Linked DNA regions of Callithrix jacchus. The protein of the gene in region 1 purifies or fractionates together with the protein of each later gene. This does not show direct contact. Links are inferred from orthologs where the notes say so. Each region holds a gene or a part of one and is shown on either strand. Other genes may lie near its edges. The genes, in order: DLAT, DLD and PDHA1.

Evidence for each region.
Region 2: the proteins of DLAT (region 1) and DLD purify together in Homo sapiens (affinity purification with mass spectrometry; 4 studies listed by BioGRID and IntAct, counting the BioPlex papers as one, with this or other methods). This does not show direct contact. The link is inferred for Callithrix jacchus from reciprocal best matches to the Homo sapiens genes DLAT and DLD.
Region 3: the proteins of DLAT (region 1) and PDHA1 fractionate together in Homo sapiens (co-fractionation; 3 studies listed by BioGRID). This does not show direct contact. The link is inferred for Callithrix jacchus from reciprocal best matches to the Homo sapiens genes DLAT and PDHA1.

What each region holds. Positions count from the first base shown.
Region 1 is NC_133511.1:11,730,635-11,737,486, forward strand, and holds the start of DLAT (dihydrolipoyllysine-residue acetyltransferase component of pyruvate dehydrogenase complex, mitochondrial), read left to right. Parts: upstream 1-3,057; 5' UTR 3,058-3,122; coding exon 3,123-3,401; intron 3,402-3,846; coding exon 3,847-3,948; intron 3,949-4,502; coding exon 4,503-4,627; intron 4,628-4,784; coding exon 4,785-4,938; intron 4,939-6,852.
Region 2 is NC_133512.1:78,372,181-78,377,245, reverse strand, and holds the end of DLD (dihydrolipoyl dehydrogenase, mitochondrial), read right to left. Parts: intron 4,826-5,065; coding exon 4,655-4,825; intron 4,336-4,654; coding exon 4,146-4,335; intron 3,680-4,145; coding exon 3,542-3,679; intron 2,588-3,541; coding exon 2,498-2,587; intron 2,404-2,497; coding exon 2,338-2,403; 3' UTR 1,636-2,337; downstream 1-1,635. UniProt on the Homo sapiens protein: Lipoamide dehydrogenase is a component of the glycine cleavage system as well as an E3 component of three alpha-ketoacid dehydrogenase complexes (pyruvate-, alpha-ketoglutarate-, and branched-chain amino acid-dehydrogenase complex).
Region 3 is NC_133524.1:19,830,024-19,835,787, forward strand, and holds the end of PDHA1 (pyruvate dehydrogenase E1 component subunit alpha, somatic form, mitochondrial), read left to right. Parts: intron 1-1,040; coding exon 1,041-1,108; intron 1,109-2,281; coding exon 2,282-2,390; intron 2,391-2,884; coding exon 2,885-3,049; 3' UTR 3,050-3,600; downstream 3,601-5,764. Other genes in the region: MAP3K15 (mitogen-activated protein kinase kinase kinase 15), read right to left, coding at 4,110-4,194, 4,671-4,747, 4,824-4,924. UniProt on the Homo sapiens protein: The pyruvate dehydrogenase complex catalyzes the overall conversion of pyruvate to acetyl-CoA and CO(2), and thereby links the glycolytic pathway to the tricarboxylic cycle.

The DNA.
Region 1 (6,852 bases):
GTGTGGGTCAAGATGGCCAGGGGGAGACCTTTATTAATTCTAGCTAAATAATTATAAGCTTGATTGGCTCACAGTGCACTGAAGTTTATACACCAAACTAAACTATATTATTGGTGCAGTTAATTAGAAATCAAGCAGCCACAGGAGGCCTAAGGTGTAAAGACCACTGGGGAGCGCAGTAACACCAGGGAACACTGAGGGGTGGTTGCAGAGCAGGGAATACTGCTCTGGTCCCACAAATGCCTTCTCAACATGGCGACTGCATGAGGGTCTCCTAAAGAGGGCTTGTGCAAAGATCTCTGAGAAGGGAGGCGACCTCTGCTCACAAGATCTGGGAGGGTCTTTGCAGATGGGAGCTGGCCAGGAGGAGAAACGCCTTGCAAGGCCAGGCGCGGTGGAAGGCGGAGATCACGGAAAGCCTCAGCCTCTGCCTAGGTTCTCCGAATATGGAGTGATTTTAATTGTTCTATGTCTTCAATGCTTGGGAGATAAAAGCCCCTTGAAGTATTGGGTGTGGTCAGACTGGGTGGCTCCTCCTCTGCTATACTTCTGCTGCAGCAGCACCCTGATAACAATAAGTGATAAACTCAGAGTACTAGTTTAGCATGTTTTAGACAGATCTCAAGTGCTTTTAAATGCTTAGACAGTAGTTTAGCATGTCTTAGAAGGATCTCAAGTGCAAGTGCTCCCCTGCCCCATCTTACCTACCCCTTCACCCTCCCCTTCCATGCCCATTACTTCAATGAGATTATGCACAAAATAAAAGGGTTTGGAGCCCAGAGCTCGGGGCCAACACAGTTCCCACACTTGCGTTGGTCCCCTGGACGCATGCTGCAAATTCTAGCCTTGTGTCTCTGTCTTTATTTCCTTTTCTCAATCCCTCCTCACTGCCAGGACTAAGGGCATCTACATACGGGGTTGGGGCTGGTACCCAGCAGTGGCACGTGCCTGTAATCCCAGCTACTCAGGAGGCTGAGACAGGAGAATCTCTTGAACCCGGGAGCCTGGGTGACAGAGTCAGATTCTGTCTCCAAAATAATAATAATAATTTATAAGCCCTTTTACTAATTACAATTATTCTTCCATTGCTTCTTCCAATTGTTAATTCATAAGCTGTATATAATTGTAACAATATAATTGCCCTCCTCTTCATATTATTTCAAATATGCCTTTTCATTTAATCTGGAAATTTTATATTTCTCAATTATATTGCCTACATATCATTCGATTAGGCAGTTGTACCTGCTTAATAAACATTTCCAATTTAAGTAGGCATAAAACAGTATATCCGATCTGTTTTTACTTTTCCAAATTAATTGTTAGCAAGATTAACCACCCCCAACACACACCATTTTTTAAGAGACAGATTCTTTCTGTGTTGCCCAGGCTGGTCTCAAACTCTTGGGCTCAAGTGATTCCCCCACCTCAGCCTCTCAGGTATTTATTGCTGGGAACTACAGGCACGCACCATCGCTCCTGGCTAACATCTTGTTTTAATGTTTTTCCCTCCAATTTCTTCTTGTGTTCTTGGTGTTGTCTAACTGTGTGTACACTGGGGAGGTGGTGATACAAACACAGCACATGCTTCCTCCTTATCTAATGTCACCTTAATTGATACGTTTTCTTTTATTTTTTTTTTGAGACAGAGTTTCACCCTTCTTACCCAGGCTGGAGTGCAATGGGGCGACCTCGGCTCACTGCAACCTCTGCCTCCTGGGTTCAGGCAATTCTCCTGCCTCAGCCTCCTGAGTAGCTGGGATATAGGCACATGCCACCGTGCCTAGCTAATTTTTTGTATTTTTAGTAGAGACAGGGTTTCACCATGTCGACCACGATGGTCTCGATCTCCTGACCTCGTGATCCACCCGCCTCGGCCTCCCAAAGTGCTGGGATTACAGGCGTGAGCCACCGCGACCGGCCTAATTGATATGTTTTCTTTCTTTCTTTCTTTTTTAAAGACGGGGTTTCACCGTGTTGGTCAGACTGGTCTCGAACTCCCCACCTCAGGTGATCTGCCCGCCTTGGCCTCCGAAGTGCTTGGATTACAGGCGTGAGCCACTACGCCCAGCCAATTGATATGTTTTCTAATTAAAAGCTAACCTTACAAGAGAAGCAAACCTAACAAAATGTCTGGATGACTTTCTGTTCATTAATTCAAAAGCTATACATTCAGCCACCGCTAATTACTGTATACTAAGCTCTGGGGCTACAGGGAAGAACCACCTCCACACACTTCCTGCCTTCAACGGCTTCCAGTTAAGTTTTGGTAGGAAACATATGAAACGTAACGCTTTTGGTTACGTAATAGAATTCTATGGTATTAGGGGTAACAGAAACATGTTCTGTAACCTATATTTTCATAAAGGGAATATGCTTAATCTTGCTACAGTATACACGAATGCGGGAATCTGTCTTTTCTGGGCTGCCTTTCGTACCACTTGGCTGGAACACCTGTTCATTTCACTTCAAGTTGGGTACAAACCTGAAACGAAATCTTTGTAACCCAGTACAGCCTGCGCCCGGTGGGGCCCAGTCCGTCCTCATGACGATGCGCGGAAGTAGAGGTCACCAGGCTGCACCTCTCGATTCCCCCGCAGGCGGTTCCTCGCTCCTTCACCACCCCAGGGCTCCAAGATCCCCGCCCTTTGGCCTGAGGCTCCCACTGCCCAGCCAGTTCCCTGTTCACTCCCGGCTTTTCCTCGAAGCTGGGCCACGCCCCTCGGCCCAGACTCTCCGGCCACTCGGCCGCGGTGATCCCGCGTCTTTGCCACTGTTGAGACCTCTCCCTCTCGGTCGTACCCTTCCCGTCTCCTGGGCCCCGCCGGATGCCTCCCCTAGGACCCCACCACTTTCCGTCTGTTATTTCTCCCAAACTTGCGCCCGCACAGGCCCTGCTGGAACACCCCTGCCCCGGGGGGGGGGTGCCCCTTGTACCCACTCCAGAGAGGAAGGGCGTGGGTGCGGCGCATTTCTGGCCTGGGGAGGGGGTGGAATAAACCTGCGGGGCCCATTTTACGACACCGTGCGGCTGTGCGGCGTGGCTGACGGCAACGCCGTGCAAGTCTTGGAGAGGTCACTTCGGAGACGGCGTTGGTTTTGGGGTGTGGGGGGTTGGTGGCACTATGTGGCGCGTCTGTGCGCGACCCGCCCAGAATGTAGCCCCATGGACGGGACTCGGGGCTCGGTGGACGGCCTTGCGGAAGGGACCCGGATCTCCACGAGTGACCTCGCGATCTGGCCTGGCTCCGGCTCGTCGCAACAGCGTGACAGCAGGGTATGGCGGGGTCCGGACACTGTGTGGCTGGACCCCCAGCTCTGGGGCCACGCCGCGGAACCGCTTACTGCTGCAGCTTTTGGGGTCGCCCGGCCGCCGCTGTTACAGTCTTCCCCCGCATCAGAAGGTGAGCCCTCGACCGGTCCTTCTCGGGACGACCCGTCCTTCAGAGCCGACTGGATGGCTGCACGATCCTCCTTGAGGGGCCTCATTGATCCTCCAGCCATTCCCAGTATCTGCTTTCGCCCTTTGTCCAATTCAGCTTTGCTGTGTAGCTCCTTAGCTTCCCTCTCATGGTCTATTCCATTGAAAGGAGAGCTTCAAGACTGGGGCAGTATGCAAAATACCTGCCGAGGTTCATGCCTTGTCAGACCCAAAGGACTGTGGAGGAGAAAGCCTGTCATTGGAAAGTATTCACTTCTCGTGGGCAGCAAATTTTTTTGGATCCTTAGTTCCTAGTGTGTAATGGAACTGGATAAACTCGTTGCATGAAATTGAATTAAATGAAATCTTAAGCCAGACAGAGGGTTAGGTAGCCCTTTAAAAATTTAATGTTTCTTTTTTTCTTCCAGGTTCCATTGCCTTCTCTTTCCCCGACAATGCAGGCAGGCACCATAGCCCGTTGGGAAAAAAAAGAGGGGGACAAAATCAATGAAGGTGACCTAATTGCAGAGGTAAGTTGTTTTAAAATAAAGGAGATGAGTTTGAAGAGACTGGCTTTGCTGAATTGACTGAACATTGACTTTCTGGATGTGTGGTTACCCCTTTGCTTAAGAAACTTGTGTTTTTCACAGCTTGATGTTAGACAAGATTGGTTAGATGAGTTATCAGCAACTGGCCAAACTGATGTTTAGCCAAGGTGTTTCCAAAGTAATTCCTTCTTTGAAATCTGTCCTAGTGCCTTATCTTCACATGAACTGTGTGATTCTAGACACAAAGGCCAGGCTGACCAATATGGTGAAACTCCTGTCTCTGCTAAAAATACGAAAAATAGCCAGTCCTGGCGGCCTGTGCCTGTGGTCCCAGCTACTCCTCTGGAGGCTGAGGCAGGAGAATGGCTTGAACCAGGGAGCCCTGCGGGGAGGTTGCAGTGAGCCGAGATTGCGCCACTGCACTCCAGCCTCGGTGACAGAGTGAGACTCTGTCTAAAAAAGAAAAATTCTAGACACAAGCAAATAAAGTACATACCAACAGTACCAACTTAAGCTGCCGCTTTTTGTGTTAAAAGGTTGAAACTGATAAAGCCACTGTTGGATTTGAGAGCCTGGAGGAGTGTTACATGGCAAAGATACTTGTTGCTGAAGGTACCAGGGATGTTCCCATTGGAGCCATCATCTGTATCACAGTTGGCAAGTGAGTAGTACCCTCATAATTTGTGAAACTTCATTGCTTGGTGGAGTATTTTAACCCAGAATTGAGAATTAGGAGTTAAAGACTTTTTTTTAAAGACTATTTTGTGAGGGCTGAATCTGCCTGTTTATTATATTTATGTATTCTTTCTCTTTCTTAGGCCTGAGGATATTGAGGCCTTTAAAAATTATACGTTGGATTCCTCGGCAGCAGCTACCCCACAGGTGGCCCCAGCACCAACCCCTGCTGCCACTGCTTCACCACCTGCACCCTCTGCTCAGGCTCCTGGTAGCTCATATCCCGCTCACATGCAGGTGAGGCTCAGTCTCTGAGTGTTTGCTGTAGATGATTTATTACTTACTTTTTTTCGTAGATGGCTACTACATCTTGGAAACTGACATTTAATGTGGCTAATGCTTGTCATTTGGGAGTTTACAGAGATTTAAACATGAAAATTGACAATTTTTCTTCCTGGTTGTTATTTCCAGGTATAAGAACTTGAACAGTTCCTGTAACCTTTCTCAGCCTCAGTGTAGTACACAGGGTAGTGCGTGGCACTTTTCATTCAAGAACACCACATTATAGATTTTGAGGATGATTTTTACTCATATCTACTCCCTGTGTAATTAGAGTTTATAGTAGGCTGTGTTTGTTTTATACTGGCATAAATATCTGGGGCTGGGTAATTTATAAAGAAAAAAAGTGGCCAGGCGTGGTGGCTCACGCCTGTAATCCAAGCACTTTGGAGGCCAAGGCGGGCGGATCACCTGAGGTCGGGAGTTCAAGACCAGCCTGACCAACATGGTGAAACCCCGTTTTTAAAATAAAAAAAAAGAAAGAAAAAACATTTATTTGGCTCATGGTTCTGCAGGCTGTACAAGAAGTATGGCACCAGCATCTGTTTCTCTTGTGGCCTCAGGAAGCTTACAATCACAGGGGAAGGGGAAGCTGGTGTGTCACATAATGAGAGAGGCAGCAAGAGACAGAGGGGAGTGGGTATCAGGCTCTTTATAACAATCAGATTTCCCCTTAACTCATAACTGTGAGGCATACACCAAGCCATTCATGAAGGATCCTCCTCCAATACCCCGACACCTCCCGCCAGACCCCATCTCTAACATTGGGGATCATATTTCTTTTTTTGGGGTGTGTTCTTTTGACATGTGGTGATCTGTTTTCCAAGAGTAAGTGAAGTAGTACGATAGTATTAACAAATGAGAAAACTGACAAAAATAAGTGGCTAAAAATCCAGCCATCCTTTTCTAAATAATTCTGACTTGAATTTTTCCATAATCTAGTTTATTTGTAGAAATTTTTGTATAGAAATCACTTCTTTGGAAATAATGTTCTACTCTGTGGTCTGTTAGTAACAATAAGTTAGGATTTTTGCCAGGTATTCAGTTCCCACATGTATTACATGCTGTTCATCAAATTCTATCTCATGATATGAGACTGACTTAATTCTTCTCTATTTTATGTCTGTAGCTTTGTGTGCATGTGTTCGGGCTTTACCTTGATTATCCTTTAAGATATTATATAGAAATCATTGGCTTTACTGTTCGTTAAGAAGCAGATCAAGATGGCAAATTCTGAACAAAAAAAGCACTTAAAATTTTTTTTCTAAGGCTTGTCTTTTTTTTCCCCCCTCTAGAAACATCTTCAATTGAAATTATTTTCCTCTTAGCATAATGCCGTTGCTAATCGGATACAAAAGACAAAGGGGATAGCAAATGAAATCCGTAATAACTAAATAACCAAATTCCGTGGACACACAAGCCATATAAATAGTAAAGCAATTTTAAATTTAGATAGGCATTCTGATGTTTGAATTTTATTGGGGTGGAAATGACTATTTTAAAAACAGGGCTTTTTTTCCTCATTTAAAAAAATTTTTTTGAGACGGGCTCTTACTCCATCGCCCTAGGCTGGAGCGTGCAGTGGCATGATTTCAGCCCACTGCAACCTCTGCCTCCTGGGTTCAAGGGATTCTCCTGCCTCAGCCTCCCCAGTAGCTGGGAATACAGGCGCACACAACCATGCCCAGCTAATTTTGTGTTTTTAGTAGAGATGGGGTTTCGCCATGTTTGCCAGGCTGATCTTGAACTCCTGCTGGGAAGCTATTGAGGTGCTAAGCTTTTGCTGTGACGAGTATTTGGATTATCATAGTCACCATTATTCTGTGAAACTATATAAGCCTGCCTGACTGTTACTGTGTACAAGTCTTCTTA
Region 2 (5,065 bases), on another chromosome or scaffold:
TTTTTTTTTTTTTGAGGCGGAGTTTCGCTCTTGTCCCCCAGGCTGGAGTGCAGTGGTGTGATCTTGGCTTACGGCAACCTAAGCCTCCAGGGTTCAAGTGATTCTCCTGTCTCAGCCTCATGAGTAGTTGGGATTACAGGCACCTACCATCACACCAGGCTAATTTTTATATTTTTAGTAGAAGCAGGGTTTTACCATATTGGCAAGACTGGTCTCAAACTCCTGACCTCAAGTGATCCACCTACCTTAGCCTTCCAAACTGCTGGGATTACAGGAGTAAGCCACTGCTCCATGCCAGTTGAAATTACTAATTTTAATCAGTTCAATGAAGTGGATAATCTGCCTTCACAAGCCACGAAAATATTGAGAGCTTAGTAGACAACAGTAAGTAAACATTTAAAACTTGTTTTATTCTTAGGACTTCATTCCCCACCCAAATATATTTCATTCTCATATTGAATGTAAACACTTAAATATGGATTTAACTATTTTGTGTCCCTAGAGCTAGGATTCCATGTTAAATTATATTTCACTACTCCCTAACTAGAAACTTATTTTTCCCTGAGTAAGAGACATGTTGAGATTTAAATAAACTAGCACTTGACACGATACTGGGATTTCAGATTTTTAAAAAGATGCAGCGTTCACTTCCAGTAATGGCGAAGTAGCACATATCGGACCAACCCTCCTGCTGACAGCAACTGCAAACTCTGAACAAAACACATTTTAGAAAAAACTGTAAAGGCACTGGAAAACAACTATAAACAGGTGAAAAGCAGAGAGGAGCTGGCACTTAAAAAGTGAACAGCACTGGCTCAAAGTCTCATTTTTAATAGGTTTTGACTTGAGGGGGAAACAAAAGCCAAGTTTTATTGGATAAGGATCAGAGGACAGAATATGGGGCGACCACAACAGCTGGAACATAAAGGGGAAAACCCCAGAAAAATAAGAGGGAAAAGAAGGGGCAGACTTTCTTCTGCCCAACCTCTGGTTGACTACTGAACTATACACTTGCATCGGAAAGACTTCCAGCAGCATAGGTAAATCTAAAACAACTGAGAAGAGATTTCAGCTGCTACCACCTACAGGGTTTGGAGGTGGTGTTCAGCCAAATTAACTGCCTACTAAGACAACAATCAATTTTCTTCAGAAGTATGTAACAGAATCCAGGGTGTTTACTATACGCCACTCATAATGAGCATTAGACAATCTATGCTATCTATACTAAATTTCAGAACTACTTAATGAATATCATTCTTAAATTTAGTTATAATATGCAAAAGCCTACTTAGCATTTAGTACTCTGTTACTTAAGTTTCACAGGACATGGCCATTTTAAACACCATAGACGCAACTTTATAATACTCTTTAAATAAAGTCATTTACCCAGCCAAGGAAAACAGATTAAAGACTCCCTTATGTTGTACTTCTCCAAAAGCATATGTTAAACATTTACTAGGTGTCTCTAAAATAGATGAAAGGACAATGACTTTAAAATACCTTAATATTGTCACATAACATGAAAATAAAGATACATTCAGGCCTACAAAAGAAATAAGAACATACACTAGAGGTAGTCATAAAAAGAAAAAAAAACTACAACCATCTCAACACGTACTCATAACAACCAATAAATGAATATTTAAGACGTTTATTTCAGTATCTTCATTCCCCATTGTAATACATTTGAATCCACACGTAATATTTGAGTCCTGTAAATAGACTCTCTTAATTTGGGTAACTATATAATTACCCTTCAGAGTTATAGACAACAATGGAATCTTAAAAACCTCTTAAACACATAAATTCTACCCCTTAACTGCAAGAATTTAGGGGTTAAATAAGTGAGAGACCCTTTTTGACTTACATTATTTGGTTTATAGACAGCTGAATCTTGTTTGAATGACTGACTTGTTTCCAATATGAAAACCAAATTAAAAATATCTTGATCACTTTGCTTCAAACACAACTGTTCAAAGATCAAATTCTAGCTCCATCTGTGTAAAATTCAACTTTTCTATATCAGAGAAAAAAAAACTACTTAAATTCAGTGGCATTGAATCTTTCATGAACAGCATGAAAATAGGAGTTGACGGAGATATTCCAGGTACAGTAAGTAGCTTTTTGTCTTACATATGAGTGCACTGAAACAAAATACTAAATATATGTAAAATATAGATATGAGTATTCCATCTGTCCAAACCTATTAAATACCTTCCAAAAGTTTCATAATTCAGTCCTAGAAATTCTTGGAGCTGTGTGCATATCCTGTCCAGGAATGTGACTTCTACAAAAGCTCCCAGAAAATTTCAGAAAAAATATATATAATCTTCTAATTCAAAAGTTGATTGATTTGCCAAATGACGCAGCAAGATTTGCTTCTCTAAAAGCTTCTGATAAGGTCTGCAAGGGAAGAAATTTAGAATTAAAAACCAAGTATTTGTGGGTTAGAAGAAAATTCAGGCAACCATCAATTCTTTATGTTGTTAATAATTACCGGATGTGCATGACAGACTCTAGCTATATCTTCACAGGATGCTCCATATTCCAAAGCAAGAGCAGCTTCATTTACCATTTCTCCAGCACCCTTTAAAATAACAAGCCAAGTAAATTTGCTTCCATGACAAAAACTACATGCTAATAGGATAGCAATGGTTAAGAGAGGAAGCTTTTAGATCTGAAAATCGCCTTAAATCTGTTTCTGTATCAGCTGAAAGAAAGTCAGAAAAAACAACAGAAAAGGTGACACAGAAGAACCTGGGCTTTGGAGCCAAATGGTTTTCGATTCGTATCTACCATTTACTACTTTACCCATTCACTGGTTCTGTGTGCTTCCTTCAGTTTCTTCACCTCAAAAATAACAGCATGTATCTCACAAAGCTGTTGTAAAAATAACAAAATGTATACTAAAGTGACACAGTGAGCACTCAAATATTCTATTCTCCTTATTGTTATATCAGATACAGGAGATATCTACAAGAAAGATAACATACTTTAGCCTCAGTGGTAGGAAAGGTTTCCCTTAGGAGGTAACATTTGAGATGAGACCTAAACAATAAGGAGCCAGCAATTCAAAGATGTGGAGCCACAACAGTCTAAGCAGAGGGTACCTCAAGCACAAAGGCCCTAAAATTCAAACATTTGGCCTCTTGTGAAAATGAGAGAAGGTCCATGTCACACAGAATTAATCAGCAAAGGAGAGGAGAAAGAGAAGAGGTCAGAAATGTAGGCACAAACAGATTCAGTGAGGCGCTGTATGTAACAATCTGAAGTTGAAAAGCACCACTGGAGGATTTTAGGGGCATAATCCGGTGTATATTTTAAAGACAGAATCTTGGCTCCAGTATAGAAACCAGATGATACAGTGGGCAAGACTGTGAGAGTGCTGCTGGTATCCTTCTAGAAATGATACACAGAGAGGCCATATTCAAAAGTTTTGCTGGAAATGAGTAACCTCCAAATAACAACAGGTGGTTTACAATTAATAAACAGCAATGCTTTCTAGAAATCTTATGGATTTCTCTGGTTTTACGATACTCACTGGTCCAAGAATATGTGCTCCCAGTACTCTGTCGGTCGATTTCTGCCCAAGGATCTTCACCATGCCATCTGTGTCAGCATTTGTCTTAGCTCTGCTGTTAGCAGCAAATGGGAATTTCCCAACTTTGTACTCAATACCCTGTGAGAGACATAAAAAAAGAATCTACGTAAGTGCTGGAAGAGTTCATTCCAATTTGTAAAATCATCTACCATTTGATCAGAAATAAATCCCAAGAAGGCAACTGTACACAAAGTACATACAAGACCCAAAGGTCTTGTTAATGAAGATATAGTTAATGAACTATATCTTGGGCACAAATGCAAGCCAATACAAATGTCTGTCCATCTGGTTATATTTCAAAGCCAAATATAAAAGATTTGGAATTACTAGTTTTTTAATACAGGCAACTTCTCCTCCTCTCAATTACTGCTGAAAAATCTGTGAACAATCTCTTTATAATGCTAACAAGGGAAAAACATATAAGCTAAACAATGATATTTCACAGCTGTGAAATATATTAATGTAATAAGATGCTGTTTCTCAACCACCATTGTCACTGGCACAACTCACACACTAGGGTAAAACCACCCACGTTCAGAGTTACCTCTTCTTTCAACTGCTCTTCTGATTTGCCAACCCAAGCAACTTCAGGGTGTGTATAAATCACTGATGGCACACAATTGTAGTCAATGTGCACAGCACCACCAGCCATTCCTTCAACACAGATAATGCCTTCATCCTCTGCTTTGTGAGCCAGCATTGGACCAGCAACTACATCACCAATAGCATAGATACTACCACAGAAATCAAAAGAAACAAAATGAATTTCTGAAATCACAGCTACTTATCTTCAGTTACATCATGGTAACAAAAGTAAAAGTTTCCAGTAAATAAGTCACCAAAAGATAAATCAAATGCAACTCTTCAAAAATCTATGAATTCACCTTCTCATCTTTGAGGAAAACTTCAATTATTTTTTGATTTTACATTTTGTAAGTTTACTATTCTTCCCCAAAGCCAAGACATATTTTAAGCATACAAGTCTTACTTTTCGAAACACTGTTTGAAATCAATTTTAAAATTACTGAAAACGCAGACAACTGTCCAACTTACTTTGGAATTTTAGATTGGAATCTGGTATTGACTGGAATTCTACCTCTGGGATCTAGTTCAATTCCCAGCTCTTCTAGTCCCAAATTCTTAGTAAAGGGTCGTCGACCAATGCAAACTAAGAGTACATCACAAGTGATAACTTCAGCTTTACCACCAGAAGCAGCTTCAATACTAGATAACAAACAGTATATAAATGTTAAATACACACCTACATAAATTGATAAAAATTTAAGATCAGAAATTTCTCAAGCATTGATGACATTTTTAACAATTAAGTTTATTTGACTGTAAATCGAAGAGTCAGATAATGAAAGAGAGCTATCATAAAATCTCACAAAAATCACAGACTAACAAAACAGCAGTTAAGAATATAGGTCTTTGAGTCACAAAAATCCACATTTAAGTACTGAC
Region 3 (5,764 bases), on another chromosome or scaffold:
TTCTTGAAAAGAATCTGTGGAAGCCAGCCCTGGCTGGAGACATGGTGTTGACTTTCCCAGCCAGATAACCTTCACAATTCTGAGTTAGGTGTTAACTGTTTTGCCCATTTAACAGACAGGGAAATAGCCACAGAGCAGTTAAAGGTACAAGAGCTACTCTACCTTGGAGCCTGGATTGGAACCCAAGCACCTGGACTCTGAGCCAGCTCCCCACTCCCCCATTTTAACTGCTGCACCAAACCAACCAAGGATCCTCAATGCTTCCCCATCCCTCAGTGTTCAGAGCCATCTCCTGGAAGTGGGCTAGTGTCAAATGAGCAGGCCACTTGGTGATACAGAACCCAACTGGGCAGACTCCCAACAGAGCCTCGGGGTTTGGGGAGCAGAGGTTGTTGGTACCTGCCAACTTTGTTACACACTAGCAAGATCTGTGAAGTACAAGTGGCTGCCAGCCCCACAACACACCATGAGAAAGGAGCACAAGATGGAAATCTGCCTAGCCAGTATCAGGAGGCTCTAGCACACACTCGAAGCCTTTTTCTTTTTTGACAGGGTCTTGGGCAGTGGCATATTCACAGCTCACTGTGGCCTTAACTTTCCAGGGTTAGGTGATCTTCCCAAGTAGCTGGGACTACAGGTGCATGCCACCATGCCTGGCTAGTTTTTGTTTTTGTTTTTGTTTTTTTTAAGAGATGGGGTTTTGCTATGTTGTCCAGGATGGTCTTGAAGTCCTGGGCTCAAGTAATCCTCCTGCCTCAGCCTCCCAAAGTGCTGGGATTACAGGCATGAGCCACCATACCTGGCCTTTTTGATCCAAAACAAGCTATTGCCAGATTGCCTTACTAAAAATAAGATGAAATATATCATCAATACATGCTAGAAATGAGAACAAATAATCAGTCAACAAATAAGAAATTCGTGACAACTCAGATCTGATAAAAATACACTGGACACTTAATAAAGGGCCTGTGTTTGAGGCCGTGGATCGTCGGGCTGCTGTTCCCATCATCATTCCTAACTGCCTTCCGGTTCTGTTTTAGGGGCCCATCCTGATGGAACTGCAGACTTATCGTTACCACGGACACAGCATGAGTGATCCTGGAGTCAGGTACACTCATGGGCAATGTGGTTTCCAGAGGTGGTGGGCTTTGAATGGTGTTACATGGCAAAAGGTACACATTTCAGCATTTGCTTTTGCAGCTACATACCAGTTCACTTCCTGTATGCAGTTAGCTTTGTTGGCATCAAGTTATCTGAAGTCTTAGTCTGAAAGCAGTGCCTCCTAAAAACAAAGCTTTCTAAAAATTCCTAGAGTGTGTAGTGTGTGAGCACAAGCAACGATTTTCAAAAGAGCATTGGAAATTGTTACATAAAACAGGGCTGATGGTAGGGTAGTATCTTTGGGGGCATTTAGCTTTTGTAGGTATTACCCCAAGTCCACAGATGGCATACCCCACCTGAAGAGAACGTCTGGCATAGAGCAAGGCTAACTGGGGGTTCAATCTGTTGAAATACATCAATCACTAGGAAGGTATGAATTTTACTTTTTGGCTTAGTAGCTGTGGCATGTAATTCTGGAATCCCAGGTGTGACACAGTTGAATAAAGAAGCCTTCATAGAGTGGACTTCTCAGGGAAAATCATGTGTAGAGTGTAGTATATGGAAAATGTACTTTGTGTAAATCTGTTGTTGAAAGTGGTAGAATCCTTTTATTGATGTAGTGATACTTCAAATGATGTAGGCAAAAATTCTACATCATAGAATTGGAAGACTTGGTATCCAAGGTTTTGCTGACTGTGCTGCTTTAGGGGGACTTACGGGAGAAAGGCAAGGCACATGGATTTCTTACTGGGCGGTCTGATGTCTCAAAGTCTGATTATCAGCACAAACTGTCTCTGCTGTCCCCACCCATGTAGTATGCTTGAGCCCAAATGGGTGGGACAAGAGACACTTCTTTAGACCCTTATGTCTAAATTAAAGCAGCAAGCACAAACTTGGCCCCTGTTGTCAGAATGCCAGAGAAGCCCTAGGACTTACCAGTGTATGGTTTTCTAGAAAAGACAGCAGTTCTTACAGAATGTTAAGCTGGGTTCTGGTGTTTTGAAAGTGTAACTCTGCCACTCCTATGGTGACAGAGGCATTAATGTGCCCCTTTGTTTTAGAAACACACTTCTATATCTCACCTCATTGGGACAGTCCAACCCAATATCCTATTTCTTCATGCTGTCCTTGCTCTCCTGGAGCTGTTCTTACTGATCAATTACTTTTTCCCTCCCCATAGTTACCGTACACGAGAAGAAATTCAGGAAGTAAGAAGCAAGAGTGACCCTATTATGCTTCTCAAGGACAGGATGGTGAACAGCAATCTTGCCAGTGTGGAAGAATTAAAGGTACACTCACTCATTTGTGGAGGTTTGAAGGTTGGCTTTTTTTTTTTTGCACCCCCCCCTTCCCCCCTAAAAAAGTTGCCACCCCTGGGTGGGCACAGACAGAGTTTGTGTGGGTTTCTCTAAGCCCAAAAAGTGATGTGCTGGGGCATAATGAATTCCAAAGTCCCTCAGGGTGGGCTTTCCTTCTAGTTTCCTCTCCTCCAAATTCTATTACTCTAGATTTTGGTGGACTGTGGACCACCTGAGTAAATGCTATCACTAATCACAGTGGCCAAGCCCCCCAAGTAGCATAGTTCTTTTTTTCCTAAGAGATTTTCCTTTGAATTTTTAATTCATAAAAAAGATACACCCTAGAAATCTATATTCCAGAATCTTCCAAGTTAGCAACTGTTAATGCTTGTAGTTAGAAAAGTTACACCAGCAACAGGTCCTCAGTAGAACTCTGGTTGGTACCTAAGCTGCTGTTCATTCAAAAAACCTTTCACACTTTTTAGGAAATTGATGTGGAAGTGAGGAAGGAAATTGAGGATGCTGCCCAGTTTGCCACAGCCGATCCTGAGCCGCCTTTGGAGGAGCTGGGCTACCACATCTACTCCAGTGACCCACCTTTCGAAGTCCGTGGTGCCAATCAGTGGATCAAGTTTAAGTCAGTCAGTTAAGGGGAGCAGAAGGTGAGCCTCTATACCTTCAGGGGCTACTAGACAGTGTTCAGTGTTCTCATCTTGGTTAAGGAGAAAACCCAGTCAGTCAGTCAATGACATGCTTGTAAACGTCCACTTCAGCTAGTAATTGCATGCAGTTTGTACATTGTTGCATTAAAAGATGTTATTGAGTGCTTAGTGTGAATATTATAAAAGATTATTTTTGACTTAGCATATTTGTTCAAAGTATACAACTATTTTAATTATGAAAAGGAAGAACAATTCCTAGTATGCCTGTGCCCCACCACCTTTTTGAGAGGAGACCATTATTGTGGGGCCCCTCACAGGCATACTTATGGTAACAGCCCAGGGCCTCTTGCTGCGTGCAGCAGCCTGTTCACACTGACCATCATTTCTCTTTAAGACACTATTTATTATAATCAGGCAGCAGGACAGGTCCATTTTAAAATAAGACTTTCCTAATCAAAGGCCACATAGTTTTCTGTACTTATACATTCAGTATAATATGAAGCTATTTTCTGTTCATAATAAACATTAAATACAAGGCACATTCGTATCAATGTTGTTTCTCAAATTTAAGTACCATAACAGTTCTGAAGCGAAGCAAGTCCCAGCTTCCATGTTAAACACCCCTTGTTTCACCATTCCAGCAAGTGCTAAAGGATGTACTTTTTTGTTTTTGAGATAGGGTCTCGCTCTGTTGCCCAGGCTGGAGTGCAGTGGTGTGATCAAGGCCCACTGCAGCCTCCACCTCCAGGGCTCAAGCGATCCTCCCACCTCAGCCTCCCAAGCAGCTGGGACCACAGGTGAATTTCCTAATATTCTGGGAGGTCAAAACCAGGGCTCACTGTTCTCACAATACACACAGCTCTATGTTTATAAATAATAGATTTCAAAAGAAACTCAGTATGGACAATATTTAAAACTTTAAGTTCCTGAATAATGGCATTTTTAAAATATGTAAACACGGCAGACTGCATCTATACATTAACAGAAGCTTTAACAAAACATGTAGTGTGGTGGCACACACTGCTCCCAGCTTAGCTGATGATCGGTATCAAGCCTCGTCTTTGGCTTCTGAGGCCTCCTGAGCCCTTCTGTACTGGGAAACCGCGCTCCAGAGCCTGCAGAGGAGACCACCCCTAGGAAACAAACAGCTGTCTTCAGAGTCAGAGCTTCAAGCCAACAGTGCTTAGAAATGCAGCCCCTAACTTACTTAAAAACATTCTCTTCACATATGGAGGAGACACTTGTGTCCCAGCAGTGTTAGGATATGGCCTTAGAGGTATGTACCTGCAGAGCCAGCTATTTCAAATGACGCAGGAACAAGAAGGCAGGCTACAGTTTACAGAAGGGGAGGGGTCCAGCATGTGGGCCCTCAAGCCGTGTGCCTCCCCCACTCCCAGCCAGGCATTAATGGCAGGAGATTGACTGGCCAGCTCCTCTGTCACCTGCCTACTTCTCCTGCGTGGTTTTCAGTTTCTGCCATGCGTTGGCTTTTTCTCAGCTCCGAACTCCAGCGTTTTGAGGGAGGCCCAGCCCTTTGTTTTCTGCTCTTTAAGCATATTCACACATAAAAAGGCGTGTTCTCTTACACAAACTGTTTTGCGGCTCTTACCGTAGTCGAAGGTATCTTAGATCTTCCTTAGTGATCTCATTAAGAATATCAGACAGTGTATAACCCTCTTCAATAATCTGAAATAAAGATCAGATCCATGAGAGCAAGCGGCCGTGTAACAACACCGTAAGAATTTCTTCGTTGTATGTTTACCTTTTCGATTGTCTTTGCATCAGCTCCTTGCAGCTGCAACCAGTCTATAAGCTCTTTATCTGTTCTCTGCCCGTGGAGGGCTGCTGGGCTCTCTGTAATACCTGTACAGTTGGCAATTTGTTACATATTAGTCTAACCATAAAAGTCTTCCAAAGTAACCAGCTGGATGAATAAACGATTCCAGAATGTAAATGCGACGTGAAAAAGAGATGAATTCACCATGCGTCACTCAGCCACTCCAATTCATATTACACAACTCCCAATTCTAAGATTCACTTTCTAGAGAGAAGCCGCTTCATCTAGGATGCCTTCAGTTAATTTGGAACATCACTTGTTAGGTCTACCACTTTAAGTGTTTAGCCCCACATCTTTCAAATGCCTTTCCTTAGGAACCACATCCCTAACTGTGCTGGAAATAGGGTTAAGTGTTGAGGTTTTACGTCAGAGCTTATCTGGTCCACATTCCAAGAGGTAGCTCTGGAGCTCGTTTCTAAGTGGCGCAAAATGAATGTCGGCTGACAGGCATATTTATGTACTTGTGCAGTAAAGCACCCTTTTTAGGTGTCCAGTGTGTTATGAAGGTGGCAGCACGGAGAGAAATGACCATCACTCCCAAAAGCCCTCGTGTCCCCTTTCCTCCCTCTTCTGATTCTGTCCCTGTAGTTTTGCCTTTTCTGGAGGAAAAGAATTCATGGTATGTGGCCTTTTGAATCTTTTTTTTTTTCTTTTTTTGGGACAGTCTGTCACCTAGGCTGGAGTACAGTGGCATAGACCTCGGCTCACTGCAGCCTTGACCATCTGGGTTCAGGTGAGCCTCCCACCTCGGCCTCCTGAGTAGCTAGGACTACCAGGTACACAAACACCAAGCCTACTGGTTTTTTTTTCTCTTCACCCTGTTGCCTTGGCTGGTTTTGAACTCCTGGGCTCAAGTGATCTGCTAG